Mus musculus: one gene and its partners. The protein of the gene in region 1 interacts with the protein of each later gene in a pairwise test. Links are inferred from orthologs where the notes say so. Each region holds a gene or a part of one and is shown on either strand. Other genes may lie near its edges.

Region 1 (6,687 bases):
GGTCAGCGGAGGTGACCGCTGGCAGTGCTGCCGTGTTCGAGGCTGAGACGGAGCGGTCAGGCGTGAAGGTGCGGTGGCAGCGGGATGGCAGCGACATCACCGCCAATGACAAGTATGGTTTGGCAGCAGAGGGCAAGCGACACACACTGACAGTGCGGGATGCGAGCCCTGATGACCAGGGTTCCTACGCGGTCATTGCAGGCTCCTCAAAGGTCAAGTTTGACCTCAAGGTCACAGAGCCAGGTAAGAGCTTGCTGACCTCGCCCCGGGGCCCTGAACTCAGAGTCCGGGGCATGGACTCTGGGCACTGGCAATGCTGTAAGCCAGAAATGCCCGTTCTGCTCTTCTGCTCCAAGATCTCTCTAAGCATTAGTTGTGGCTGCAGCTCTTTCTGCACTGTGGAGGTGGGAACCCGAGAGCGGTGTTCTAGGAAGGGTCCACTCCCATAGCAGACCCAGAGCCTGGTCACCCAGATAAGGACTTGGCTAGCTGTATGTGTTAGTGGGGAAATCCTAAGAGCTTGGTGGTGGTGGTGCTGGGTCAAGGCCAAAGCTCGGAAAGGGACAACAGATGGACCACAATGCTGCTCAGAGCAGAAATCTGGACATGGGACAGGTGGATCGTGAGTGCTGGAGGACGAGAAGCAAGTTGGCTCCTCTTCTTGGAGTGAGGCCAGTGGCTAAAAGAGCCTAGGATACTGCTGTACAAGTGGAATGTATCTTAGGTGGGACATAGGTCTGATATCCGAGTGGAGGGCTCTAATTAGAAACTGTTCCATGACCCCACCTCAGCCCCTCCAGAGAAGGCAGAATCTGAAGTTGCTCCAGGAGCCCCCAAAGAAGTCCCTGCTCCAGCCACTGAGTTGGAAGAAAGTGTCTCAAGTCCTGAAGGTAAAGAGGGCTGGACAACGAGGGACAGGCCAATGGATGGGGAATATCCCAGGACAGACCTCAAAAGCCTTCTTTTCAGGGTCAGTCTCGGTAACCCAGGATGGCTCAGCTGCAGAGCATCAGGGAGCCCCTGATGACCCTATTGGCCTCTTTCTGATGCGACCACAGGATGGTGAGGTGACCGTGGGTAAGTGGGAACTTTGTGCTCATACTCGGGGTTAGGGGAAAGGAAGCCCCAGAGGACCAAGGTCGGAGAAGTCACCTTTCTCTTGCAGGCGGCAGCATTGTCTTCTCAGCCCGAGTGGCTGGGGCCAGCCTCCTGAAACCGCCTGTGGTCAAGTGGTTCAAGGGCAAGTGGGTGGACCTGAGCAGCAAAGTGGGCCAGCACCTGCAGCTGCATGACAGCTATGACAGAGCCAGCAAGGTGGGACGCCTGGTCAGGGGCATGGGGAGCCAGGGAGTACAGGCATAGGGAGGCTGGGAGACTGGGAAGCAGGGCAGAGCTGAAATGTTCAGCCATACCAGCTGCACACTGCACAAAACAGCTCCCAAGTGGAGCCACCTGCCATCTGCTTGGACTTCTATCATGGTCATGTGCAGGCAAGAGCCCGTATGGGTCTTTTATTTTATTTTTTTTTTATTTTGTTTTTTGAGACAGGGTTTCCCTGTGTAACCCTGGCTGTCCTGGAACTCACTCTATAGACCAGGCTGGCCTTGAACACAGAAATCCGCCTGCCTCTGCCTCCCAGAAGTGCTGGGATTAAAGATGTGCACCACCACTGCCCACCCCATCATGGGTCTTGAAAGGTGGATGCTTTCTTTAAATTATAGAAGCGCTCTGTATGTGTCAGCCCTGAGAAGTGAGCTTGGCAGGCTTTGCCACACCCCTTCTCTTTAGGGACGCAGGGCCTCTCCTGTCCCAACCTTCCTTCATCCTCCTGCTCACAGGTCTACTTGTTTGAGTTGCACATCACAGATGCTCAGACCACTTCTGCTGGGGGCTACCGCTGTGAGGTGTCTACCAAGGACAAATTTGACAGCTGTAACTTCAACCTCACTGTCCATGGTGAGGGAGTCCTGGGGTCTCGTCTGGTCTTGTGGTCTTCATGGGTCCTGGTCCCTTGGGCTTGTCTCTATCTCCCAACTAGAGAGGGTGACTAGCTGTGGCCAGAAGCCAGTGCCGGTCACCCGAGGTGTGAACGAAATGCATGCTTTCAGGAGAATCGTGGGAGCAAGTCAAGGGTGGGATGCTGTTTCTGTGTCCCTGCCTCACACAGTTTGAATGTGAACTGGGAGGTGAGTGGGAGGCAGCCCACTGTGGAGACTGAGATGAGAAACTGCCTCATCTCTCTAAATATGAACCCTGGGAGAAGCTGAGAAGATGGAGTCTTGTGCTCCCACTCCCTGAGGTCACCCCCACCACTACATTCTCTTTGCACACAGAGGCCATTGGTTCTGGAGACCTGGACCTCAGATCAGCTTTCCGACGCACGTGAGTGGCTCTCTTTCCTTGGGAATGGGGGTGGGGGGCGGGGAGACCAGTGTGAGGGCTGAGGGCCCTTGACATTTTAGATAGACGCATGTGGGGGGTCCAAGCTGAAGTCTGTGGGGGGCAAGGGCAAGCTGCCAGGTCACTGAGAAACTAACTTCCACAGGAGCCTGGCGGGAGCAGGTCGGAGAACCAGGTACCCTTCCTGTCCTCCATCTATCCCATCACAGAGATGGGTGGGAGCCCCACCTGACTGCACCCCTTCCTCCTATACCACTCCATCGCCTAAGCCCCTGCTAGCTCTTCAGAGAAGCCTCATGGGGTCTCTCTCTTCAGTGACAGCCATGAAGATGCTGGGACTCTGGACTTTAGTTCCCTGCTGAAGAAGAGGTGAGTCCTTGGGTCACATCTTCTAGGGCAGAGATTAAGACATGGCATTGAGATTTCCAAGCTGTGTGTCCCTGAACAGAATGAGGCACTTCTCTGAGCCAGTTTCCTTATCAAGGGGGAATCTTGTCCCAGTGTGGACAAGAGTTGTCTTAATAACCATCCTTAGTCCCAGTGTGGACAAGAGTTATGTCTTGTGCCCCTCAAAACCTCCTGGTGAATCTACCATAGACCATTTCCACAGATTCTGAAGGCCCTAAGAAGTAGGAAGAAGGTTCCCAAAGCAGTAGCAGTAAGGACCTAGCCCTGACTTCATTTCTTTTTCTGTCCTTTCTTTCCCTCTCTCTCCATCTTCCCTTCATGGCTACTGCTGCTGCTCCTGCCCAGAGAGTAAGGCGTGGGGCTGGGAGGCTCTGGGTCTTACAAGAGGATTTTAGCTTTGGGGACATGTACCCTTTCTGCTGGGGTTTGGGGGAACTCACACACACCAGGGTGACATTCTTAAGGCTTGGAATGGCTCTGACACTGTCTGGTTTTATGAAGAATGAGACTCCTGCCCTGAAAAGTAGGGGCACTGTATGGGGAAGAGGGAACAAGTGAAGGCACTGGGAAGGATCCCAGTCTTGGCAGGGAGGTGTCCAGACTTCTAATGTATGCCTGTCTTTTTCCTTCATCTGGAGCAGCAGTTTCCGGAGGTGAGTTGAGGTTGGGCCCTCCTCAACACCCTAAGCCAAGAGTCCTCCCTAGTTCAACACCCAAGACTCTTAGACTGAGAGGGGAGGAGAGGGGAGGGGAAGGGAGGGGAGGGGACGGGAGAGGAAGGGAAGGGAAGACCTCATCCTGTGTCCTGGAAGGGACAAGGAGGGACTGCCTTGAGCTTCCCAGTGGGCTGTGGGACACAGGGACTCAAAGCTGGAGGCACCTGCTGAAGAAGACGTGTGGGAGATCCTGAGACAGGCACCGCCGTCAGAATATGAGCGCATCGCCTTCCAGCACGGAGTCACAGACCTTCGAGGCATGCTGAAGAGGCTCAAGGGCATGAAGCAGGATGAAAAGAAGAGCACAGGTTAGCCCTTTCCACACAAGGGAAAGCACAAGGCACCAGCTAGCTCCCAACAAAGGAGCCGGGCTGGAGAACAACACACAAAAACCTGTAGTATGGGCAGAGGGAGCCTCTGGGGGCAAGACAAGCAGTGGTAGCAAAAAAAACAATTTAAAAAAGAAAAAGTTCAGCAAGGCACTGCATGTTTTACGTAATTGCCTAGTTAATTCTCCCAACAGCACTGCCAAACAAGGCATAGTATCAGTTCACTTTTACAAGTGAGGAGACAGAGACACAGAGACTCCAGGAACTAGCTCAAACCCCACAGCTGTCTTCAGGCCCAGCCTGAGTATTTGAGGGCTTCTGCACAGCCCTTCAGCTGCAGAGCTGTTTTTACCAACATGGCTGCAAGGGGAGGCATTGTTGTGAGGTGGCCCTGGACTCCTCCATACCACACATTGGTGGGTTTGTGGCCTTGGGTCACCCGCCTAAGCCCTGTTCTATCTCTACAACCTGAGACCCATGACAATGATCTGGAGAACTGGGAGGTATGGCGCTAAGGGAGGGGAAGCCAGCAGGGATGCTACGGTGAGCTTGGCATTACCAAGAGGAAGAGAGGACGTGTGCTACATTCCTAGCTCTCACAACAAGCTTCTATCATGGTGGATGCCTCTAGCCCTGCCCAAGGGCTGAGCAGTTAGAAAGAACCTCAAGGAAGACAAAGCAAGACAGACAGAGATGAGAAGACAGGGTCATTATGGAAACCCGGAGGGTGTGTCTGGGATACGCAGCAGGGGGAGGAAGATGCAGGCACCTGCCATAGCCGCTGTGGTTGTGCTTGGGGGAAGGGTGTGGGCATTGGGGGTAGCTGGGCTGAGTTGTGGGGTTCAGCCTTTCAGAAGAAGCTGGAGCCTGCCTACCAGGTAAACAAGGGCCACAAGATTCGGCTTACTGTGGAACTGGCTGATCCGGACGCCGAAGTCAAGTGGCTTAAGAATGGACAGGAGATCCAGATGAGTGGCAGGTGTGGCAGAGGTGGGGCAGGGTTCTGGGTCCTGGGTCCTGGGTCCTGGGGTTAAGGGGGAGCCGTACTGCCTTGTATATTTCTGTGAGATCTCTCTGACTCTGGCTCCCAGTCCCTGTTTGTATCTTCCCCCACCTTTGGAATTTAATTCCAGGTCATTTATCAATTTCTCTCTCTCTCTCTCTCTCTCTCTCTCTCTCTCTCTCTCTCTCTCTCCTCTGTGTGGAACATGGCAATGGCCCCTTCTGTTTCATAGCAAGTAAGTCTCCTCCCCGACAGCTTGAAGCAGCCATGGGGTTGGTGAAAGTCACCAAGCCCAAGAGGGGCATCCGTGCCCTCCTGATATGCTGCTGTGCCCTGCCCAGGTACATCTTCGAGTCCGTCGGTGCCAAGCGCACCCTGACCATCAGCCAGTGCTCACTGGCTGACGACGCAGCCTACCAGTGTGTGGTGGGGGGCGAGAAGTGCAGCACGGAGCTCTTTGTCAAAGGTGGGCCAGGGACCAGGGAACCCTGGGAGGAAAAGAGGCCACAGGGGACCAGCTCTTATGTCGCTCCTCCCTGGACAGAGCCCCCGGTGCTGATCACTCGGTCCCTGGAAGACCAGCTGGTGATGGTGGGTCAGCGGGTGGAGTTTGAGTGTGAGGTCTCAGAAGAAGGGGCCCAAGTCAAATGGTGAGGGCAGGAGCATGGGGGTGTGAGGTGGGGCTGGAGAGGGGGACATCTGCCCAGAGGAGACACTGTCCCATGCCTGGCCAGGCTGAAGGATGGGGTTGAGCTGACACGTGAGGAGACCTTCAAATACCGGTTCAAGAAAGATGGGCGGAAACACCACTTGATCATCAATGAAGCAACCCTGGAGGATGCAGGACACTATGCAGTACGCACAAGTGGAGGCCAGTCACTGGCTGAGCTCATTGTGCAAGGTGAGGGCCCCTAGCCCAAGCCTGGTTGGCCTCATGGAAGGAGCAGGCTTTGGGATAGTGTTTGATACCATGACCTCAGCTTCCTATCTGTGAGATAGGTATGCTGAAGTATACCCTGCAGAGAGTGTTAGGAGGTCAACCCCTGAACCTGAGTTTCCTGTATAACTATAATATCAAGACACACATGTGTGTCCCGTAACTGCACATACCTAACCAGAGGCCTGCATACCACTGCCTGTGAGCCCACATGTCCCCACAGAGGACCACACTACACTCACATTCCCCGGGAGCTCACAGGCTCTGCCCATCCCCCAGAGAAGAAGTTGGAGGTATACCAAAGCATCGCGGACCTGGCAGTGGGAGCCAAGGACCAGGCTGTGTTTAAGTGTGAGGTTTCAGATGAGAATGTACGCGGCGTGTGGCTGAAGAATGGGAAGGAACTGGTGCCTGACAACCGCATAAAGGTGTCCCATATAGGCCGGTGAGTGAAAAAGAGTCAGGTTAAGGAGGGAGGCCAGACGACTCATGAAGGGAAGAGAGAAAAAGAGAGGAAGAGAAAGTTACAGAGGTCAGACATGGGAGGGAATCACATGGGAGTCACCCAAGACAGAAGGCAGAGATACAGAGGCAAAGGTTGGGAGACACTAAGGGTGAGGTGCCCTGCCATTCCCCAAACTGGGCAGTGGCAGTAACCACTGAGGAGGTGGCACTGGCTCATCCCAGAGCCTTTGAGGGCCGTGCTGGGCTCCAGTTCAGAGATTACCCACATCAGTGTTTGCCTGTCTCCAAGGTCCCTGACATGGGGTTGCCCCTGTGCAGACATCACGTCTGCACTGCTGACCTCAGAAAACACACAAGGGAGCTGGAAAACACAAAATTTGATAAAGTAGCCACAGTTTAAAATATGAGGACACTAAGGAGCTAGGGTAA
Region 2 (7,487 bases), on another chromosome or scaffold:
TGGTTCTCAGCACACTGTGATTTGACAACACCAAATATTGGCTTCATAGCACGTGTCTTAGCATACCCTGTTCACGGGGTAGATCTCCAGGAGGGTTGTACCACTTTAAAAATCAGATAGCCAGTATCTTGGCTCTGTTCCTAAGCTGGTACCATGTGCCACGACCAAGTGTCTGCCCGTAGCTGAGAACTCGCATACTTACATCCGTGGCCATGAGCTCTTCAGAGTCATCAATGGAGGCCACAGTCGTCTCTCCTTGGGAGATGAACGCATAATCGTAGGGGTTGTTGGTGATCAGCAGCATGTCTACAAGTGGAAGGAATGTGGTTCGGGTGTGCCACAGCCCCTGGCTATCCTGGGGGCTGCTGGCTATAGCAAACAGGCCAAGAGAGAGGCTCAGATAGGGCTTGATTTGACCCCCAAGATTGAACCTAGCAGTATCATAGGGCCCAAGGCATACTGCCTGAACCCAGTCTTAAGCAGAGAGGACCAGGTTGCCATGGAAATAGCTGGTCTCAGTCTGACTCACCTAGAAGCTCAGGCTTTTTATTAGACAGGATTTGGTAGAAAATGTGATAATCTCTTTCTGCTTTCAGCTGGAAAATAACCCTGGATTTTTCCAGAAGGTCTGTGAACAGGCAGATAGGAGAGGAATGAGGTTAGATACAAAGAAGTCAAGGGGAAGGGACGGGGACCATTACAAGCAAAGGACAGAGGGAGAGACCAGTGTATGGATACAGAGGTCACACATGAAGGTGGAAACAGAGACCCAGAAGGGAAGAAAGCATCTTAGAGAGAAACCCCAAAGAGACATGCACTGAGAGCAGACAGGAGAAGCCAGAGAAAGCCTCAGGCAGAAGTAGAGACAGAAAGAAAAACTGCATACTGCAGGAAGAGGTTGGGATCGGGCTGTAGAGCCAGGATGGACTCAGCCTAAATAAGCCCCAGCAAATTCATGGAACTTACAGGTCTCTATGTCTGCAGATGCCAACTTTCCTGTTGCCCCAAAATGGATTCGGATGAATTTCCCCTGAAGAGATGGATGGGAGAGAGAAGCAATGAGCCTGGGAAAGGCTCACATTTGAGGCCATCCTTCGAAAGCCAGCACAAGTCCCAAGTTCAAGGTGGAGTATCACTCACAAATCGAGAGGAGTTGTCATTCCGAACTGTCTTGGCATTGCCAAAGGCCTCCAGAGCAGGGTTGGCTTGGATGATTTGATCTTCCAGGGTACCCTGGAAGAGGTCAAGAAGGATGGGATATGAAGGCTGCCTACTCTTTTTCTGTAATGCAAGCCTTTACATGACAGCGGGCCTACCTTGCCTGGGGTCTGGTCCTTCTTGCTGCGGTCCCCAATGGCGGCAATAACAGCAAAATATTGGATGACCCTCTTAGTGTTGACAGTCTTCCCAGCTCCGGATTCTCCGCTGTTGTGACAAGCAAAGGCTTAATAGGCAGTAAAGACACTGGTTAAGACCAACGAGCCTCAAGCGAGGGAGAGCACCTAGTCTAGTAGAGAGAAGGTGCTCAGATCAGGAAGTTGTTAGGGACTGGGACATAGGATCAGGTTAACCAGCAGGAAGACGGTGCCACAGAGGACAAGGAGAGGAGAGGGCAGTTTGGGAAGAGTAAGTGGGGAGGAGAGAAAAGGTTTCTAAAGTGAAAGATAAGGAAAATGAAGAAAGGCGATACATGGGCTTTTCCAAATGAGCTTATACATGAATGAAGAGTCAGAGGGAAATGGGTGAGGAGGCAAAAGGAGAAAACAAGAGAAAGATGGAAAACAGAAAGGGAGAGAGGCACAAAGAAAAGAGTTGGAGCAAAGACCAGAGAAGAAAGAGATGGGCATGTGGGTGGAGAGAAAGAGGGCCATAGGTGCATGCAAAGGAGTCTGGGTACTCTCAGGGGATTCTGGGATCAGGGATTCTGGAGCTATACTCACGTGATGAGGATGGACTGATTCTCCCGATCTGGAAGAGAGAGGAGGAGAGGCAATGGGTTGAGGGATGCGAGTCCAGGTGAGAATTCAGGTTGAGGGGACCCAGGTCTGAGCACCAGGCTTACCTGTCAGCATGTACTGATAGGCGTTGTCAGAGATGGAGAAGATGTGAGGAGGGGCCTCGCTCCTCTTCTTGCCCCGGTAGGCAGCCACCACTTCCGCATTGTACACAGGCAGCCACTTGTAGGGGTTGACGGTGACGCAGAAGAGGCCCGAGTAGGTCTGAGGGTAAGGAAGAGCAAGTGAGGGGTGGTTGTCAGAATTAGAGAAAGACCCCAGGAGACAATGGGAACAAAGGGCGAAGCGCAGAATCAGTCTGGTTTTATAACGGAGCCAAAGGAGCAGGGGCTGGTGTAGAGTGCCATACTCCTTGGACACAGAGCAGGCAGGTAGGTGGCTTGGCTTCAGGAGACTGCTCTTGCCCAGGAAGCTCTGGGTTCTGGGTGATGGACCGGTGCTGCACTCACATAGATCATCCAGGAAGCGTAGCGCTCCTTGAGGTTGTACAGCACAGCCGGCTCATGCAGGAAGGTCAGCATGGCCATGTCCTCGATCTTGTCGAACTTGGGTGGGTTCTGCTGCATCACCTGGTCCTCCTTCACAGTCACCGTCTGGAACAGCCCACAGAGGCCCTCATGTCAACCTGTGTCTGCCCTGCTCTATCGGCATGAGGGCAGCACGGCAAGGTATGGAGTTGGGGGCAGGGGGGGGGTGTATAGCTGAGGAGAGACTGGAGTTAGATGTTGGGAGTAAGGAGACTTTTGGGAGAGTTTGGACCCCCACCCTACCCAAAGGACGGGAAGCTTGGGGGTCCTCAGGTGTGCACGCCTGTCCCCTCTCTGGGCACCCTAGGTATGGGGCTCTCTTGAGTGGCCTCCCCACACCAGTCCCGACACCTACCTTGCCATTCTCCGTCTCAGCAGTGACTTTGCCACCCTCTCGGGACACGATCTTGGCCTTGACAAACTCTTCTTTGTCATCGGGCACAAAAACATCTTTCTTGAGGTCAAAGGGCCTGGTCTGTGCCTCCAGCCTCTCCTTCTCAGACTTCCGCAGGAAGGGGGCTGCAGCCCCAAATGCAGCCATCTCTGCATCCGCCATGGCTGAGCCTGGGGTGAGGAGCAGCTGTTACCTATATGCCTTCCCGCACCTTGGGCTCTCCCGCTCAGTGGCAGCTCCCAAATCCAGTACTGTGCTCAGCACTCAGGAGTTTACCCTTCTCCAGGCTCACCCCTAAACCAGAGAGCAGCCTGGCAACTGTGCCAAGGCAAGGGGGCAGCTTTACTTTCGTTCACTTGGAGCACTCTTTGAGTGTGTCCTGACCGTATTTCGGGGAAAGAACTCTGTATCAATCTCTGACTGTCAATAGTCCCTGCCCCTCACTGGCCCTGAGTATGAAGCTTCTGGACACCAGGCCATTGTCTCTGAGCAGGCAGAAAGGAACCTGCCAGGCTTTGGGCTTGGGGCTTTGGGCTTTAACTATGTGCAGTTTTACCAGATCTCCCAACATTTGGACTCCAACTTTTCTCACCTTGGATTCTCAAACGTGTCTAGTGATAGAGAGGTAAGCCCAGGCCTGTAGAAGAGCTGGAGAAAGGGAAGAGACGGTGTCAGGACAGGCTGTGGCCCAGCCTGGCTTCTGGCACCTCCCTCCTCTCTGGCTCTGTTCTTCAGCACGTGGAAGAGTGATTAGCAGCGCTGGTCAGCCTTTCTGGTCACTGGCATCCTTCCTTTTCAAGCTCTATCTCCTTTCTCCCAAAGACTAACAACCTCCGAGCCCCAGTCCTCCGCCCTTAGGGGCTGTTCTACCCTTACCTGTACTCCTCTGCTGAGGCTTCCTTTCTCGGAGCCACCTACAACACAACAATAGTCACAATGCACTCTTGCTGTTCACTCTCGCGGCTGCCCCTTGGGTACGTGAGGAAGTGGAGGCTGAAGCCTTACTTTTCTCAGAGCACAGGACAAGTAGCAGAGTCCAGATTTCAGACTCGAGCCTCATGATTCCAACAGCCCTCTGACTACCCTCGCACACCCCAGCCTCCCCTGCACACGCCCTGATAAATACACATGCCTTCTGCTTGTGCCCACACTTGACGTGAATGTAAACTTCCTTCCATCCTCAGCACACATGCTCCCCACAGTGTTCATGTGCAAACAGCCCAGCACATAGGCAGGCTCCTGTGGCTGCGTGTTCTTCAGCATACGAAGACCAGAGCCCCCCACACCTGCATGTCTGTGAACTGCTATTTCAGAGACTACACGCAGGGTCATATCCTACATAGTAATAACCCCTCTATGTACAGTCAGACACTTCCCCAAACATAGGCAGGCTCTAGTGTTCACAGAACTGGCTTCCTTAAGAGTTATTCTCCATCATTCTGTCCCTCTTCTGCCAAAATGCTTGTAACCAGGCATGAGGTACCTTATGTGATAAAATATAAACTGATCCTTACATTTAAGATATGTGTGCTTGTACTTGCGCACGCACACATGCACGCACATGCTCACACACTGCTATTGCATTCTGGGCCATATGCACATATAGATATCCACCCCCCACCTTGGAACACTTGGGCTCCCACATTCCTACGGCACAAGCATGCGTATTTAGATCTGCACAGGAGTGTTCAATGATAACCTGGTACTACATGCCAGAAGCCCGCTGCTGTTCTAGAGGAATCACTTCCTGAACCTGGAGCCCCTTATCCCAGAGGGAAGCCTCCAGCTCCCACTCCTACCTGAGGGTAGCAAGTAAGGAAACAGCAGGAGAATGCTCAGAGCCAGACCTGGTCTCAGGGGCTGTATATATGGGGCAGCAGGGTGCCCCATCCCCCACCTGCACCCAGTCCCTAGCCAGATTTAGAAAGGGCTGTTGTCACTAAAAGCATTTCCCCCGACTCTCCCCCCCTTCCCTTGTCCAAACAGTACTCCCCCCTCCTCCCCCAGCTAGGAAACAATTGGAAGTGGTCGTCATTGTTGTGGCATGGCATGTTCAGGGTCTGAGTTCCAGGGGGTGGGGCAGCTTAAAGTGAAGCAAAAATATCTCTAACATTCCACGGCTCACTAGAGAGTAAGCTGACCACGACCACCACGACCTCAAGCAGGCAGGGCCCTGGCTGGCCTGCAAGAGGGTCCTGCTGACCCTGGCATTGCTGCCCCCTTAGAAGCCTTGCCCCCAGTGCTAGCCTGGCCCTATTTCCAGTATCCTCCCCACACTCCTGGCTTGAGTCCTGCATCTGTCTGAGGTGGGAAGGGGTTGGGTCACAGCAGCTGAGAGGGGCAGGGCAGAGTTGGGGGCATGGCTCTGGTATGGTGGTTGGATTGGAGCAGATAGAAGGTAGTAGGTTCCTGTTAGGACCAGAGAGTTTGGACACAGGAATTCTGGCTCACACACTGCTTTCCTTGGGCCAGCAGGCAATGTGTCCCTGGGATCATGGTGCTTCAGAGCCAGGCAGATCTTTAGTGATCCATTTAAGTGCTTTGCTTTAGGGGGTGGGGGTGGGGGTGGGAGATGCTTCCTCTAAGATTGCACAGCTTCAGCGAAGCAAAAGTGGGGAACCTCAGCAGATAGGAAGTTGATCCCAATCAGGGGAGGAGGGCTAGGGATGCTAAGAAGTATGCCAAAGCTGTTTGGGGAGGAGGACCAGTTGCTCATGGTCCTGCTTTAGAGCCCTTTCCTGTTCTAGCGCTGCCCTGCAGATTTTCGAGGCGCAAGGCCTGAGCCTCCCAGGGTTACCCAGGGCTGTAGATGATATGGCTACGGCTGCCTGGTCCACCTGGCCTCTGTCTAGCCGTGGGTGCAATCTTTGTTCTTCCTAGTGGAGAGAGGGACAGGACAGGAGAGACCTTGTCTTCCCCTGCAGGCCCCGGGAGCAACGCTGGCACCCAGCCTCGTTCTTGTTCTTCCAGCTATAGAAGCTTCACTGCTCGGTGTCTAGGCAACAGACTCAGGGTTTAGTTTGAAATCCCCTTTCTTCCCAAACACAGCTCTGAGCGCATGCGGATTAATCCAGTTGATTAGATGTCAGTTTGAAGGAGAGAGGCAGGCCTGGGGGATGGGCTGCCAGCAAAGCAGGTACATTGTGAAGGTGGGGTAGGCATGGCAGGGAAAGGAAAAATCCAGGAAGGGCTTCTGTGGGGTTTCTTGGTAACCAAAGCAGGGGTAAGGATGCTGAGCAGCTGTGTGCAGTGTGCAGGGGGAAGGCAGGGGGAAGGTGGGGGGAGGACCACAGACTGTAGGGGCTGCACCTCAATGCAGCTGCAGCTCCGCAGTCCTCAGAATGCAGTTGCAGTTGCTGAAGAACTGGTCTTGCGACCCTGCCAGGTATTAATAGAGCAGCCTCCCTAGGAGGAACCTCCAGGGCCGAAGGAAGGCTAAAGCTCTCCCAGGCTCTTCTTTTTTTTGGGGTGGGGGGTGGTTTGAGACAGGGTTTCTCTGTATAGCCCTGGCTGTCCTGGAACTCACTCTGTAGACCAGGCTGGCCTCGAACTTAGAAATCCACCTGCCTCTCCCTCCCAAGTGCTGGGATTAAAGGCGTACCACCAGGCTCTCCCAGGCTCTTCTAGCTTTCCCAACAGAAGAAGGTGCCTTCCCGCCATGCTCTGGGAGAGGGCTCAGGCACAGGTGCACGCACTGAGATGGATAAAGAAAGCTTGGGACTCAGGCGAGCCATTTTAAAGCCAGTGTCTTTGAGTGGGGCCAACCTGTGTGGCTGTGGGATTAGGTAGCCATCTCTACAACTTAGCCACACACCCTTTCCCCCTTCTTTCAGGTTTGGAGGGCTTTGGTCTAAAGGTGTTTTTGGAGTATTGTTCTCAACTCTGCAAGGCAGAATTTAAAAGCCAGTTTCCTAATTTTAAGATCTCTGTCTCATATCCCAGATGTTTGGCCTCCTGCTTGCTGCTGTTGGCGGTTGGGTGGCTCTTCCCATCCTTTCCTATGTGAGTATTCATTGAGGGCCAACTTTGAGCTTGGCACTGATGTGGTCAATGGAGATACGTAACAATGAACCAAAGCAAAGACCCCTGCTCCGGGAGCTTTGTCCAGCTGATTGTAGCAGTGGACCCAGGCTTCAGAGTACAGCTTGTGCTTTGCATGCGTGCGTGACATTCCTAGTGGAGAGAATGGGGGCCCGAACCCATGTGAGGAGTGGGTGGTGATGTGGAGCACACTACAGAGTGACAAGAGACAAGACAAAGGGGCAGCAAGTGCTATAAATAAAAAGGGAGGCTGCTTCGCTGAGGTCGACCAAATAAGGCCTGGACAGAAGGAAGGTGATCCGCCTCCCGAGCCTCCCCTCCCCAGGCATTGTGCCTGCTTTGTCTGGGCTCTGTCACCACACTGATCAAATGTCAGGTCCAAATAGGAGCCATTTGCTGTGAACATGCCAGTGGAGACCAGCGGAAAGTTTGCTAAAATTACTGCTGGGAATTAGGGGGAGGTGGGGGTCTGCAGTCTTGAACTAAAGGAGAACTGAGCGTGGAAAGAGA
Region 3 (7,117 bases), about 23 Mb from region 1:
AGGAATCTCTCATCAGCCTCTGTCAAACGCTTGCACGCAAGTTCAGGAACTTCAGATCCATTCTACTTTAGAAACAATTAGGCCACCTACAGTCTCAGCGCTCAGGAGGTAGAAATTGGGATGTCAGGAGTTCAAGGTCATCTTCTGTTACCCATTTTGTAGGGGGGCTTATCCTGGCCTATATGAATATATTTCAATGATGCCAAAAAAAAAAATAAATAAAACAAAAACTTAAATGATATTTCAAAAAAGGCTATCTGTGAAACTCCATTTAGATGCTTTCTGGCCCATTTCTAAATAACCCAGTGAAACCACCTCTCCCTTCCAAGGATGTTCCACGTCTCTGACTTCCACAATTACCACTGAGGATAAATCCTGTTGTGTGCTAGTTACCACTGAACTCTGCTTCATAATCAATAGAACATTGTTGAATGGAGGAATGAATGGTAGTGACCCAATTTTTCCAAACAGAAAGCTAATCCCACCTCTAAAAGTATCGAATGGTGACAGAGCAGGTTCAGTCTGTCTTGCGTCTGACTTACATTGCTTGTCTCTTTGTGGGCCAGTCCTCAGTAACTCAATAGAACTGAGTTACTATGCCACTTTTCAGGGGGGTGAAAATGGGGTCTTGATGAGTTAACTGGCCTGCCCGAGACCAAACGTGCGGAACGTAGTTAAGTGTTAGAGGTAGGATTTGAAGCCTGTCGATCATTCTGATTCTCCTTTTCTCTACGTCTGCTTCCTGTCAATGGGCATCCTCACTGTCAAATGCAGATGGTACAGCAGGGCTTGGTCTCAGCCAGGCAGGCCTCTCCCCAGTCTCCATGGCTCAGCTGTCCAGCAGTTTCATCCCTAGACCATCCCAAACATGGTTGAGAAGCTCTGAGGGGAGGACCCAGCACTGCCCGGCCCCTGAAGTATCTAATCAGCAGTCCTGCTCAGCATATCAATCCAAGCCCACTCTAGACAGAGATGCCGGTGCCCAGTTTTCTATTTTTAACTGGTGTGAACTGAAGGAAAAGCACAGCATTAGAAGTCCAAGCACTAGTCAAGAACCAAGAATACAGGGCACCCCAGGGCAAGCTAGTGACCTGTGTCCTTTTCTCTCCTGTTCCTTCCCCCTCTCTTCACTGCTATCTTTCTGTTTCATTCTGAAAAAAAAAAAAATGCAAAGTTCCTTCAAAGTGTTCTCCACGAAGGAGATGACTCCCGTTTGTAGCAATGCTTCTCACACTTTCAATGCTAATCATGGACATCTTATCTTGCCATACAGTAGATCTGACTCTGGGGCGGGGTCAGGGATACTGTATTTCTAAATCACTCAAGTTATGAAGATGCTGTTTATCTATGGTCCACGCTTCGTGTAGGAGGGTTGGTAAATTCTCTTATCCTAAGTGGCTATGAACTTCTCCACAAAAACATTTGCTTTTTAAGGTGGGTCATTACCTGGGATGAAGAACTTTATCAAAGCCTGTTTAAAAGATGCCCATCTATCTGCCAGCAAGTAACTGAGATATTTTTGGTATCAGTGCCTCCATTTATTTTAGCATCTGAAGACCCGGTGGTGGCTCATAGACTGAAATCTGATTTTGAGCAAAACTCTTACAGAGTGGATGAGAACTATTTGGCCTCTGGGCTGGACTTGGCTAGACCCTCAGACAACCCTTCTCAGCTTCTTCTCTGCCAACTCAAGACCATGTCTGCAGTGGGTCCGAGACTGGTGAATTCTGGCTTTCCCATCTAGATGAGCATAGTCCCAGCTCAGGCTAAAGGAGACCAGAAGATGCACTACCCAGGTGCCCCTTTTGCATCCAGGTACTCAAATATCCTGTCAAGCTGCTCTTTGTGCCTATGACTCTGCTCCTCTGTCTCCCAGTACTGGAAGATGAGAAGCTGCTGTCTGTCCCCTGCAGCCCCAGCCCAGCTGTCAGGACCCTTCTCCAAGGGCAGGGCGCCAAGTCTTCCGGCATTGTGTGTGTGTGTGTGTGTGTGTGTGTGTGTGTGTGTGTGTGTGTGTGTGTGTGTGACTCATTGTCCCTTAGTTTGGAAGGGCTGAAGAGCAATAAGCCCACTCCACAACTAGGGAGCTCCCCCACCCCAAGGGGCGCATTGGCATCACATAGCCTTTCCCCGTCCCCCACCCCTTGCTGGCCTGCCCCTCCCTAGCTCCCTATATGGCCATTGCTCTGACTGCCCCCTCCCCTTCCTTACATGGTCTGGGAGCCCCCTGGCTGATCCTCTACCCTGCCCTTGGCTCCAAGAATGGCCTCAGCGGTCCTAGATGGTGCTAAGGCGACCAAATAAGGCAAGGTGGCAGATCAGGGGCCCCCCACCCCTGCCCCCGGCTGCTCCAACTGACCCCGTCCATCAGAGAGCTATAAAGCTGCGCTCCAGGCGACTGACACCCAGTGCCTGCCACCAGCGCCAGCCCAGCTGAATCCAGCCGCCCCTAGCACGGTGAGTCCCAGCCTTGCTCCCTGCAGGACCTTGTCAGCACTGTGCTTTTGTGCTCTTGGATCCCACACTCTTAGTTTTGGAGGGTTTTGTTGTTTTTATTTGTTTGTTTGTTTTAGTTTTTTTTTTTTTTTTTTTCGTTTCGTTTCGTTTTGGTTTGGTTTTGTTTGTTTTGTTTTGTTAAGCAAACTTTTTGGTGAGGTTCTGACTTTTTGTTGTTGCTCTGGATCTCATGAAACCTCCACAGCACAAGAGCTCACTCCATCTCACCTCCTGAGCTTTTGTGGCTTCACTGATCTTTAGCACTTTCACCCAGTCCCCATGTATGGCTAGGGAGGGAGAATGGGTTTTCTGTTGGTGAAAATGTGGAGAGCTGAAAGGAGCTGAAAGGAAAGGACTTCCCTGTGCTTAAGAACATGGCTCCTTGCAGCCCAGGGTGTAGGGTGAGCCTCTTGACCAGAAGAGCGTGAGTGGGGTCTCACCAGCCTTCTGTCATCCACAGGGACACTCTCCCTGCTTCTCCCAACGCTTTTAGCTTTTTTTTTTTTTTTTTTTTTTTTTTGGTCTTGAGCATAAAGAAGAATACAATTGTCTCCTTACTTTCTACAATCCAATAACCCCACTGGGCCCTTCCGTCACTCTTCCCTCTAAAGGAGCAGGCCAGCCCTGCAAGCACTGAGTGTGGACCACTCTTCTTTCCTTAGCCTACAGAACCCACCAAAGCTGTGCCAGGATGTGTGACGACGAGGAGACCACCGCTTTGGTGTGTGACAATGGCTCCGGGCTGGTGAAGGCCGGCTTTGCGGGTGATGACGCCCCCAGAGCTGTCTTCCCGTCCATCGTGGGTCGCCCACGTCACCAGGTAACACTCTCCGTCCCTCCTAGCCTGCTCTCCATCCATATTCTGGGCCCCTTCTTGACACCCCCCCCCCTCCAGTCCAGCAATCTGTGAAGTGCCTCTCTTGACCTGACTGTTCAGAGACTCCTTAAGTCATACATGAAAGGCAATGATGAATTACACATCCAAGCCATCCCACGCAACTCCCTGCCAACCTCCAGATTCCAAGAAGTCCACTGCAGTGGCACACCTGTTGATGGGTCAGCTCTCTCTTGTGAAAGGCCACCAGTTTCTCATTCTGGACCTGTGGGTTTTCAACTGCAGTGTCCTGTGTCTCTGAACCTGGATTTCTTTTTGGCCCTCGGCCCTTCGTCTGTTCAGTTTAGTTTAAACAATGGAGCTAACTGCTAGTAATATAACTACTTGGAAATAACTAGTTCCCGATCTACATTCTTCCTTCTTGTTCACAGCCAGTTTTACAGGACTCCCCAAAGCTGTAATTGATCTCCTTCCTGGGTGTTGCATTTTTAGAAGTCAGATGTGACCAGAGCAACAAGTGCCATAGCGATAGTGGCATTCCACCTTGTTTATTAAAAGAAATGCCACACTCGCTGGGTTTGTCGCATGCTTGGCCAGACAGGCTGCCAGAGAGCAGAGCTAGAGTCCTCAGGCTTGGCCAGTGAAGGCTACTCCAGGATACTCTGAGGGTTTGACTTTCCATCTGAGAGATAGCAGCCTGTCAGCCTATGTACAGTGGATGAGTGTCAAAATCTTTTCTTAAGGGGACTAGAAGATGTAATGACATCATTAATTCAGTTGTGCCAAAAGACAGCCATCTACTTCTTAGGTGACATCAGTGATAGGCTTAGTAATTTAATGAAGTCATTATGCTATTCCAAGAACAAGATAAGACTCTGCTTCCTCAGTAAATCCTTTATTCTCTCCTCCACAGTTGTAATCAAATTAATCGACACACTTCCTCTTGTGGAGATGAAGTATATAACAATAGTCTAAATAATTTGTTAAAATTAGGATTATGTCTTAACTCCTGGGGGTGGGTTTCACACTATGTCCCAGGCTGCCCTGGTACTTGACTCTATAGGCCAGGCTAAATTTAAGCTGTGGCCTGTTTCAGCCTTCTGAATGCTGGCATTATAGGCATGAACAAGCATGCCTAACTTTCAAATTCTGCTTTTACTTTTTCTAGTATTTTACAGCTATTCATTGCCTCGAGAACTGGATATAGCTTAACAAGGCCAGGACCATATTCTTGCCTTGGTGGGAACACGATATTCTCATCTCCTTTTTTACAGGGTGTCATGGTGGGTATGGGACAGAAGGACTCCTATGTAGGTGATGAAGCCCAGAGCAAGCGAGGTATCCTGACTCTGAAGTACCCCATTGAACATGGCATTATCACCAACTGGGATGACATGGAGAAGATCTGGCACCATACATTCTACAATGAGCTCCGTGTGGCCCCAGAGGAACACCCAACCCTGCTCACTGAAGCCCCGCTGAACCCCAAGGCCAACCGTGAGAAGATGACCCAGATCATGTTTGAGACCTTCAATGTGCCTGCCATGTATGTCGCCATCCAGGCAGTGCTGTCTCTGTATGCTTCTGGAAGAACCACAGGTGTGTTTGGGCTAGGGGACGGTCACTGATTACGTATATTCTCAACTCACTGACTTTGCTGTGAACCCGAATCCTCACCTGACACAGGGAAGGTCCCCTCCCTGACTCTCTCTAGCAAGGTATCTATGCTGGGAGAAAAGGGTAGCAATAATTCCCTGAGGCTAATTTCAGGAACATTTACTGTAAGAGATCCAATAACCCGTTGAGTTAGCTCTTCTCCTTATTTAAGATATGTGATATGCTGTGTTCACAGCCCCTGGGTAGACATATTCAAGGACACACATTCTCCTGCAGAGTCTGAATTAAAACAGAGAGACACATCTTAAGTTGGATTGGCCCCAAGAAAAACACTCATGGATGCTTATATAACATGCTAATAGCTGATAGGAGACATAGCCATTTGAAAATGTCCCCAGGAAGATTTCCTACCACGATACTTAGTAAGAAAAACTGTACTGCCTTCAGAGTTAGTATCCATCCATTCTGGTCATTTTTATTCTTTGCATTGAGGGATTTGATTGTTTCCCATACCTAGGCAGAAGCCGGTTTCTCTATGGCTGAAGCAGTGGTTCGAAGTGCTTCACCCTCTTATCTATTTTTTTTTTCTAACAGGCATTGTTCTGGATTCTGGCGATGGTGTAACTCATAATGTTCCCATCTATGAGGGTTATGCCTTACCCCATGCCATCATGCGCCTGGATCTAGCTGGTCGGGACCTCACTGACTACCTCATGAAGATCCTCACTGAGCGCGGGTACTCCTTTGTCACCACTGGTAAGTGTGTGTGTGTGTGTGTGTGTGTGTGTGTGTGTGTGTGTTATCTGACACAGCATATGCCTGTTGCTTTTGCTTCATTGGTAGATAGACCTACTTCCCCATATTTGATCCTTTCTTCAGAGCTTGACTATGAAGCCCTCTGTCTCTGCAGCTGAACGTGAAATTGTCCGTGACATAAAAGAAAAACTGTGTTACGTCGCCCTGGATTTTGAGAACGAGATGGCCACAGCTGCATCTTCCTCCTCTCTGGAGAAGAGCTATGAACTTCCTGACGGCCAGGTCATCACCATTGGCAACGAGCGCTTCCGCTGTCCAGAGACTCTCTTCCAGCCCTCTTTCATTGGTAAGGGATGGCTTTTGGTGCTGAGCCTCAGCTTCTCTAGAAATTCTGCAATCACCCAGAGTAATACCCATTTCACTTAGAAGCATGGCAGGGGTCTCGAGTCAGCATCTGCCATCTTACTCAGCTCAGTCTCACCTCCTGATACCTCAGTAAGGAGAAAGACCAAGGCGCTCTAGTGAAAAATGAGGCTGTTACACCGAGTTTACCTCACAGTAGAGGATGAGACTGAGCAGTTAGTGAATAGAGCATGCCTGATTACTGAAGAGAGCCAATTTATTCTAATAAGTTCCATTATTGATAGACTAGACTTAAGTCAGTTACCATTCAATGCAACCACAACTCTGTTCATTTTGGTAACTGAACGCTTGATGTCACCAAATAGCTTTCCTACAGATGAAGCTGGAATCTGATTTTAGTCCATAAATGAAAAGTATGAGCCAGGTGTGTTAGCTCACACCTGCAATCCCAGTACTCAGAAACTGAGGCAGGAGTATTAACTTGAGTTCAACTTTTGCTTGGGCTACAGAGTGAGATTCATCTCAAAACAAAACAAAGTAGGCTAATTTTCATTTAAACATGTGTCATTCTTTTTGTGATATATCTCCATATTCCTGATGGCTGCAACAAATGTTCATTGCAAACAGGCACTGAACACAGTTGTCTATGTCTTGGCAGTCCGTACTGGATCATCTATTAGTACATTGTAGAGACTCATGCCCCACCTGTTCCTAGCAGTGTGTTGTAGGGGAAGCATATGTTTTAGATTTGAATGTTGGCAGCTCACCAACCCAGAGGAATTCCATTTTCCCCCCTCCATCCTAGCCTGAATGTGCTGCAAATACTTTAAAAAGAACTTTTTCCTAGGTATGGAATCTGCTGGCATTCATGAAACTACTTACAACAGCATCATGAAGTGTGACATCGATATCCGCAAAGACCTGTATGCCAACAATGTCCTATCTGGAGGCACCACCATGTACCCTGGTATTGCCGATCGTATGCAAAAGGAAATCACTGCACTGGCTCCCAGCACCATGAAGATCAAGGTCAGGAACACTTGGAAGGGG

Evidence for each region. The genes of interacting proteins can lie anywhere in the genome.
Region 2: the proteins of Mybpc3 (region 1) and Myh7 interact in a two-hybrid assay, tested with the Homo sapiens proteins (2 studies listed by IntAct). The link is inferred for Mus musculus from reciprocal best matches to the Homo sapiens genes MYBPC3 and MYH7.
Region 3: the proteins of Mybpc3 (region 1) and Actc1 interact in a two-hybrid assay, tested with the Homo sapiens proteins (2 studies listed by IntAct). The link is inferred for Mus musculus from reciprocal best matches to the Homo sapiens genes MYBPC3 and ACTC1.

What each region holds. Positions count from the first base shown.
Region 1 is NC_000068.7:91,119,187-91,125,873, forward strand, and holds part of Mybpc3 (myosin-binding protein C, cardiac-type), read left to right. Parts: coding exon 1-243; intron 244-791; coding exon 792-890; intron 891-969; coding exon 970-1,077; intron 1,078-1,165; coding exon 1,166-1,314; intron 1,315-1,838; coding exon 1,839-1,956; intron 1,957-2,333; coding exon 2,334-2,382; intron 2,383-2,545; coding exon 2,546-2,575; intron 2,576-2,715; coding exon 2,716-2,769; intron 2,770-3,153; coding exon 3,154-3,156; intron 3,157-3,449; coding exon 3,450-3,461; intron 3,462-3,668; coding exon 3,669-3,832; intron 3,833-4,699; coding exon 4,700-4,832; intron 4,833-5,088; coding exon 5,089-5,091; intron 5,092-5,197; coding exon 5,198-5,322; intron 5,323-5,400; coding exon 5,401-5,506; intron 5,507-5,590; coding exon 5,591-5,757; intron 5,758-6,072; coding exon 6,073-6,238; intron 6,239-6,687. UniProt on the Homo sapiens protein: Thick filament-associated protein located in the crossbridge region of vertebrate striated muscle a bands. In vitro it binds MHC, F-actin and native thin filaments, and modifies the activity of actin-activated myosin ATPase.
Region 2 is NC_000080.6:54,989,776-54,997,262, forward strand, and holds the start of Myh7 (myosin-7), read right to left. Parts: upstream 4,775-7,487; 5' UTR 4,736-4,774; exon of another isoform or gene 3,851-4,735; 5' UTR 3,813-3,850; exon of another isoform or gene 3,585-3,812; 5' UTR 3,529-3,584; exon of another isoform or gene 3,107-3,528; 5' UTR 3,099-3,106; coding exon 2,898-3,098; exon of another isoform or gene 2,609-2,897; coding exon 2,465-2,608; exon of another isoform or gene 2,220-2,464; coding exon 2,063-2,219; exon of another isoform or gene 1,969-2,062; coding exon 1,941-1,968; exon of another isoform or gene 1,426-1,940; coding exon 1,317-1,425; exon of another isoform or gene 1,234-1,316; coding exon 1,141-1,233; exon of another isoform or gene 1,031-1,140; coding exon 967-1,030; exon of another isoform or gene 629-966; coding exon 530-628; exon of another isoform or gene 307-529; coding exon 203-306; exon of another isoform or gene 1-202. UniProt on the Homo sapiens protein: Myosins are actin-based motor molecules with ATPase activity essential for muscle contraction. Forms regular bipolar thick filaments that, together with actin thin filaments, constitute the fundamental contractile unit of skeletal and cardiac muscle.
Region 3 is NC_000068.7:114,048,102-114,055,218, reverse strand, and holds the start of Actc1 (actin, alpha cardiac muscle 1), read left to right. Parts: upstream 1-2,343; 5' UTR 2,344-2,457; intron 2,458-3,158; 5' UTR 3,159-3,187; coding exon 3,188-3,316; intron 3,317-4,605; coding exon 4,606-4,930; intron 4,931-5,542; coding exon 5,543-5,704; intron 5,705-5,858; coding exon 5,859-6,050; intron 6,051-6,914; coding exon 6,915-7,096; intron 7,097-7,117. UniProt on the Homo sapiens protein: Actins are highly conserved proteins that are involved in various types of cell motility and are ubiquitously expressed in all eukaryotic cells.